2 linked regions of the Oryctolagus cuniculus genome follow. The protein of the gene in region 2 interacts with the protein of the main gene of each other region in a biochemical or structural test. Links are inferred from orthologs where the notes say so. Each region holds a gene or a part of one and is shown on either strand. Other genes may lie near its edges.

Evidence for each region.
Region 1: the proteins of PIAS2 (region 2) and SUMO3 form a complex in vitro, tested with the Homo sapiens proteins (2 studies listed by BioGRID, with this or other methods). The link is inferred for Oryctolagus cuniculus from reciprocal best matches to the Homo sapiens genes PIAS2 and SUMO3.

The regions. Positions count from the first base shown.
Region 1 is NC_091435.1:1,764,880-1,768,692, forward strand, and holds part of SUMO3 (small ubiquitin-related modifier 3), read left to right. Parts: intron 1-417; coding exon 418-489; intron 490-3,261; coding exon 3,262-3,375; 3' UTR 3,376-3,813. UniProt on the Homo sapiens protein: Ubiquitin-like protein which can be covalently attached to target lysines either as a monomer or as a lysine-linked polymer. Does not seem to be involved in protein degradation and may function as an antagonist of ubiquitin in the degradation process.
Region 2 is NC_091441.1:30,720,216-30,724,028, reverse strand, and holds part of PIAS2 (E3 SUMO-protein ligase PIAS2), read right to left. Parts: intron 2,386-3,813; coding exon 2,252-2,385; intron 186-2,251; coding exon 14-185; intron 1-13. UniProt on the Homo sapiens protein: Functions as an E3-type small ubiquitin-like modifier (SUMO) ligase, stabilizing the interaction between UBE2I and the substrate, and as a SUMO-tethering factor.

The sequences.
Region 1 (3,813 bases), on a different chromosome or scaffold from region 2:
TCCTGCCGGCCTCGCCTCGCCACACACGGGATGTCATGCTGGCTGACTTGGGGGTCTGGACATGAACCTCCCAGCAGTCACTCAGATCCGCTGCAGGCCCCTGCAGACCCTGGTGCCTCCCACCCAGGGGCCCTGCGTCTGCTCGCTGCTGTCCCGGGCCTCCCTCCTGCCGCCTGCCCTGTGTCCTCCCAGGGCGCGGTGGCGCCAGCAGTGTGGAGTTTGCTCGGCTTCTGGCAGAAGGGGTGGGTGGGGCGGGGAGGGCAGGGGGAAGTGAGTGTGGAGGGGCACGGGCGGCGCGGCGACTGCAGGCCCCACGGCAGTCTGTGGATTCTGATTCTGCTATTTTGATGTGTTTACTTTTCTGAATTAAGCTGTGTTATCTGGAAATATTTAATGGAAATTGCTTTTTCTTTTCAGGGCTTGTCAATGAGGCAGATTAGATTCAGGTTCGATGGGCAACCAATTAACGAAGCGGACACACCTGCGCAGGTATGCGCCCGTGGCTCTGGTCTGCATGGTGGGCGTCGCTGCCGTTTGGAGTACAGACTTGAAAATCACTGCTTGGTCCTCTCATGGCATAGCTCACTTTTTTCTTATCAGAGTTCTAAACTTTAAAAAGTTGACGTTAAGTTTTCAACTGAAGCCCATTCTTTGCCAGACATAGTCCTTCTGTTTGGAGATGGCCTGACGGCTGGGCCCAGGGCGGTCAGCACAGGCGGCGCCCGGCACGCAGCCCCTGTGCAGAGCGGTCAGAGCCCGCCCTTCCCGCTGGTTGCTGGGACGCCTGGCGTCCGGTTTCACCCGTGCGTAGCCACGCGACCGCCTGCTTTCGCGTCTTGCTGACGTGTTGTGAGAACACGCGAATACGAGGGCCCTTCAGAGCTCTGGGAAGTGAGTTCTGAGACACCTGTGCGTGGAACTGGCCATCGCTTTTGCACCAGAATCAACTTTAAAGATTGATGTACTTACTTTGAAAAAGTTAGAGAGAAAGGAAGAGGCCGAGATCTTTCACCTGCTCGTTCATCTCCCAGGTGGCTACCGTGGCCGACGCTGGGTCAGGCCAAAGCCAAGACCTTCTTCTGGGTCTCGCACGTGGGTGGCAGCGGCCGGAACACTTGGCATCTTCCAGTGCTTTCCCGGCACCTAAGCGAGAACTGGACGGGAGGTGGAGCCGCTGGGACATGCAGCGGCGCCCACGTGGGTGCCAGCATTACAGGCGGAGGGTTAACCTTCCCCGCCACAGCGCCAGGCTGCAGCCAGGCTGCAATTCACTACTTCTTAGAAGATTTCTTTCATTTGAAAGAGTGATAGAGCTGAGACAGAGATATCGATGGATCTTCCATCTGCTGGTTGACTCTCCATATGGCCGCGATGGTCAGGGCTGGGCCAGGCCAAAGCCAGAGCCTGGAACTCCCTCCAGGTCTCCCACTTGAGTGCAGGGGCCCAAGCATTTGGCCCATCTGCAGCTGCCTTCCCAGGTGCATTAGCAGGGAGCAGATCGGTAGGCCTCAGACGCGCCCATGTGGGAGGCCCGTGTTGCAGTTTGCGGCTTAACCCGCAACATAAAGTTATCTTTTAACTCCATTTTCCCCTGAAGTTTCTGAAAACCCTCAAACATCTTACCCTCAGAAAGCTTTTTTATTTAAGAAAACATATATGTGACTCGATACATCATGTTATAGGGTATCACATTGTAGTAAAAAAGAACTTTGGGCTTATAAGTAGAAGTTTTGTTGTTTTTAAATTTATTTATTTATTTGAGAGAGAGAGAGAGAGAGGCAAAGATAGATATGCTATCTGCTGGTTCACTTTCTAAATACCTACAACAGCTGGGGCTGGGCCAGTCCGACGCCGAGAGCCCAGTACTCCGTCTGGGTCTCCCGTGCGGATGGCAGGGGCCTAGCTGCTTGAGCCATCACCTGGCCTCACGGGGTGTGCTTTAATAGGGTGCTGGGATTGGAAATGCAGAAACCAGGCCTCAAACCCGGGCACTGCCTCATGTGGGCGTTCCAAGCAGTGTCTTTTTAAAAAAATTTTATTTATTTATTTGACAGAGTTACAGACAGTGAGAGAGAAAGGTCTTCCTTCCGTTGGTTCACCCCCCAAATGGCTGCTACGGCCGGTGCTGCACGACCAGGAGCCAGGTGCTTCCTCCTGGTCTCCCATGGGGTGCAGGGCCCAAGCACTTGGGCCATCCTCCACTGCACTCCCGGGCCACAGCAGAGAGCTGGCCTGGAAGAGGGGCAACCAGGACAGAATCCGGTGCCCTGACCGGGACTAGAACCCGGGGTGCCGGCGCCGCAAGGCGGAGGATGAGCCTAGCGAGCCGCGGCGCCGGCCCCAAGCAGTGTCTTAACTGCTCAGCAGATGCCTGCCTCTAGGAGTTGTGAAGTTCAGGTGCAGCTCCTGTCACTTGTCAGTCGATAACCTTGGGGTCAGGAGCAGCTGGATCTCGAGTCTGTCTGTTCTGTCTGTAGAAGGGCCATCATACCCGATCTCCTGCCTGCCATGCTGTGAGCATCCATGGGGATGCCTCAAGTGAAAATACTGTTGCAAAGTGTATTCAGCATTTAATAAATACTGAACACTTGTTTGCAATAATCGTTTAATTTCGGGCCACTTGAAACCCTACACTGTCGAGATGGGCTGTGCCGCGCAGGGGCTCCCAGCTGTCCTAGGCTGCTAGAACCCAGCAGGGCCTGAGCCAGGAGGGGCAGGCAGGAGCAGAGGCCCCGCGTCCCCGCGCAGTGCCGCTGCTGCCAGCCTCCTCTCCCTGTGTGACCCTGGCAGGAGCTCCCTTTGGTTCAGGGAACGAAGACCAGCATAGAAGTTTTGGGCCCAGGGGTCAGAAGAGAAGCCAGCAGGAAGTATTGGTGACCCTGTGCCCTGGCCTCTCAGGTGCCGGGGGGGGGGGGGGGGGCGGCGCCAGCCTGGGACCCTGTCCTCAGCACAGCCGTTGCCCATGGCCGTTCTTGTTAGCGCTGGGCTCGCTCTGAGGTGCACGGCGCCCATGGGCCAGTCACGGAGCGTTCTCGGTGGGGATCTGTGTGCGATTCCCAGGAAGAATTAGACGTTCTACTGTGTGTTTGAATGCCCCAGTGCTTAGCTTTGAGAATTTGGTGAACTCTGCAGCTCCGCCATGGCACCTCACCTTGCACGGGACAGAGGGGCGGGGCCTCGCAGTGGGGATGAGGTTCGGAGACACCAGGACAGGGAAAACTAACGGGCTTCTCTCTGTGTACCTGGCACCGTGACTGACAGCTGGAGATGGATGACGAGGACACCATCGACGTGTTCCAGCAGCAGACGGGCGGCGTGAGCAGCCGCTTGCCGGGGCGTGGCCTGTTTTCCATCCTTGCGTTTGCTGTTGAATAGTGAACCCGAGACCGTGCAGTCACAAAGGAGTCTGCAGAAACTCAAGGACATGCAGCGAAGTGACTTCCTCTCTGGCTCAAACTCTCTGCAGGGACGAATCCACGACTGAAATGGGGCCAATCAGAATTGTTATCTTTGTTTAGGTAAAATGAGTTTTTGGGGTTTTTCATTTGTATTTGTCCCCTCCTCTCTCCCCAGACCTGTGGCCCGAGTGTGGGTTCCCGAGGATGGGCCTTGGCTCCCCGTGCCAGGCTCGCCTGATCCTGCCCGTAACCCGCGGCTGGGGGGGTGCAGGACAGGCCCTCACTTACACTTGCAGGCACGGGTTGTTGAAATGCTCGATACTGGACATCGAAGCCTGGTCACGTTTGGTAACGTGGAAGGGAAAATCTGGAACGCTTCTTAAAAAGTAAAAACATAAACAAGTCCTTTAGTAAA
Region 2 (3,813 bases):
TAAATTAACAAACCCTTTGGTTGGGCTGCTTTGTGTTTCTGACATAAAGATGCATTTCCTTTTGGCAGGAGGGTCTTCCTCTTCATCAGAAGAACTTTCTATTGTTAGGTCAATAACATCCACTTTCTTTTTGCTTGCCTCACTGGCTACAGTCACTGCACAAGGCTTACTGAGGACACCTAAACCTGCACGTAGTAAAAGGAAGGAAAAACAACATTAAAGGTGTGACACCAACTCAGTTGTTAACTCAGTCTTAACTGTCAAGTACACCCAGGACAATGCATAGCAGTGAAGCCACACACTCTGCCCCTAACTCCAGGGATATCAATAAAAGGACTGCTTCCCTGGGGAGACAGGATGAGTGCCGCGCCTTGACAGCACACTTGAAATTGCGTGCGCAGATCCTGCTGCACCATCAGCTTCCCAGGTGAGCAGTCATTTCAGACAGAAACCTGCAGTTAAGAGACTTGGTCTCAGGCCACAGGACAAGAGCATGTGGTTTTACCAGATGTGTATCCTCATAGACATTAAGTCAGAATTAGATATTTCCATTCTTGCAATCATGCTAATATTAAAGTCTGTATTAGACTACCCATCAAAACTTGATAAAAAAATCAATTTTACCTTGATCAGCTGAAAATCCCCACAAACTTCCAATTTAGGTTATTCAGACATTTAAAGCTTCTTGAAATTAATTATCTACTAATCATTTAGATTTTTTTCTCAGCATTGCCTCACACAACAGATGTCCACTCTTTTCATACAAAGGTATATTATTCCCTATAATCTACTTAGTTGAAAATAAATGCTGGCAGATACTGAAAAACCAGCAGCAACCAATCAAATTGCTCCCCATTTTTCTCAAAGATTAGAGAAACCTTGGTCATTATACTTAGGTTCAGTGTCAATTACAAGGGAGTAATTAATATTGGTATATGTCTTTATTTTTTTCCCCATTTCTCCTTACCCTGAAAAATTTAATCATTACTTTTTTTCTTAGAACTTCAAATACAGTCAGAATAAAATTCAAATGCAGTGAATAGACTGCATTAGATAAAAAGGAACTTTAATTACACCTACAAGTTTCAGTTACTCAAGCTGTATTTAGTTTCCCTACTCAGTGTAGGCAGGTGCAGGGAGCTCAGTGGAAGGCTAAATATAAATATTCTGGGGGCCAGTGCTGTGGCATGGTTGGTAAAGCCGTCACCTGCAGCGCCAGCACCCCATATGGGCACCGGTTCTGCTCCACTTCCAACCCAGCTCTCTGTTATGGCCTGGGAAAGCAGTGGAGGATGACTGAAGTCCTTAGGCCCTTGCACCTGCATAGAAGACCTGGAAGAAGCTCCTGGTTTCTAGCTTTGGATCAGCCCAGTTCCAGCCATTATGGTCACTTGGGGATTGAACCAGCAGATGGAAAACCTCTCTCTCTCTTTCTCTGTCTGCCTCTGCCTCTCAAATAAATAAATCTTTAAAAAGTATAAATATTCTAGGTAAACAAACGATGACCAGATTCCTTTCCACAAAGAAATGGAAGAAAAACAATTTGTTCACCTGTGACCACTGCCCCTCCCTGTTCATTGACCAAACATGCAACTTCTCTAACCACAAACAATTTAAAAAAACGAAAATGTCACTTATCATGTTTTATTTTGTAATATACTTCATTTGGTAAAATGATTTAGATGACTGCTTCATTCATTTTACATATTACAAGTATATTATAAAAGGCTGTAGGATGGTAGAACACTTAGCATGTATCTGGGGAAGGTGTCTGGCCTAATGTTGAAGATACTGCTTGGGTCACCCGTACCCCATATCAGACACAGTGCCTACGCTGGGGTCTTGATTACACTCCCAAATCGTTTCCTGCTAATGCGCATTCTGGAAGACATCAAAGGATGGCTCAAGCTGTTGGGTCTTTGTCACCCAACTGGACCCCTGAACTAAGTTCCCCGTTCCTGGTTTCAACCCTGCCTGAGTCTCTGAGGTCATTTCGGGGAGTGAACCACAGGATGGGAGCTCTCTCTCTGTTCCTCTGCCTCCTAAATAAAAAGAAATTAATACATTTTATGACATTTCTTAAGGAAAAAATAAAAATCACTAAGGAGGACGGCAACGTATACTTGACAGATGATCCAAAGCTGAAGCAAGCAAACTGAACTCTACTGATAGTGCTAGTGGTCAAGGTTAACAATAAACATAATGCTGCCCAATCTCATTGCTTTGCTTTCCACTGCCATTCTGCACATACTTTCTATTTTTGTACACGGTTGGCTGGATACTTTCATAGCTTCTTTCTTCGGTCTCATTGGACACCAAGAGCCATCTTCTTGGAATTTGATTTCATCCACATCAGAACAATCATTGAGAATTTCCATAAAAAGCCTATAAACCAATTAAGATGTACATACGTGCAATCAATATCTTTGTTCAAAAGCAAAATAAGAAAGCAATACATGGTGGAGGCAAAAACAATGATACCTTTTTTTTTTTGATATTTCAGTATTTCACATCTTATAAGTAGTATACCCCAACCCTGCTTCCCACCTAAGGGCAGTACAGAGTTAAGTGGCTTACAGAGATCACTCAAAATTTCAGTAGCCGAACAGAAACAAATAAAAAGAAAATAGCTATTTCTTTCTTGGAACAGATCAATAAAAGACAAGCTGCTGGTCAGACTTACTTAAATCCACTTGAAAAGCAATAGATAAGCTGAAGAGCCCCATGTCTATCAAAGATACTGCTTCTGTAGTTAAAAAATCTAACTGTAAAGAAAATTCCATGCCTCATATCTTGACCAAGGAACTTTACCAAATGTTCAAGGAGAAATATTACTACTTTCCAACTCATTTTATAAGGACAGCATTATTACAGATGAAAACCAGACAAGGACATTATAAGAAAGCTTTGCAAAACAAAAAAAGGTAACACCACAATCAGGTGGGATTTATTCTTAGAATGCAAGGTTAGTTTAATATCTGAAACTCCATCATCACAGTACATCAAAATAATGGATCAGGAAGTGCAAAAAGGCAAGACAAAGACATCAATTAGAAAATCCTATAAGAGCAATGTACAAAACTCAATTATAGTTCTATTTACTAACAACCAGATATTTAAAAAAACACATAATAATGTAACACTTAGCGATAAATTTGACAAAAGACCCACAAAATACACTGAAAACTATAAAACATTATCAAGACTTGATTAAATAAATATAACATGTTCATGGATCAGGAGACTCAACACTGAGTCTACAGAGTCAACACAATACAAATCAAAATGCCAGCAATTACTTTTTCTGACAAACTGAATTTTTTTCCCCAAGTTTATTTATCTGAAAGGAAGAGAGACAGGCAGAAACAAGACAGACAGGCAAGCTGCGAGAGATCTTCCAACTACTGTTTTACTTCCCAAATGCCCACACCAGCTGGGGCTGGGTCAGGCTGAGGCCAGCAATCTTCAGCTCCACCCAAGTCTTTCACATGAGTGGCAGGGACCTAAGTACCCGAGACATCACCTGCTGCCTACCACGGGTGTGCATTAGCAGAAAACTAGTATTGAAGTGGTGCAGGGACTCAAACTCCAGCACTCCAATATGAGATAGGCATCTTAAGTGCTGTGGCAAAAGATAACCCTGGCAAACTGATTCTAAAGTTTGTAAAGAAATACAGGAAAAGAATAGTTATAAGACTCAGATTACTTGGTTTCCAGAGAGTGAAGTATCGCAATAAATAGAACAGAATACACAAGACAGATTCACATTTATATATGGTCAACTGATTTCTGAAAACAATTCAATAAGGAAAA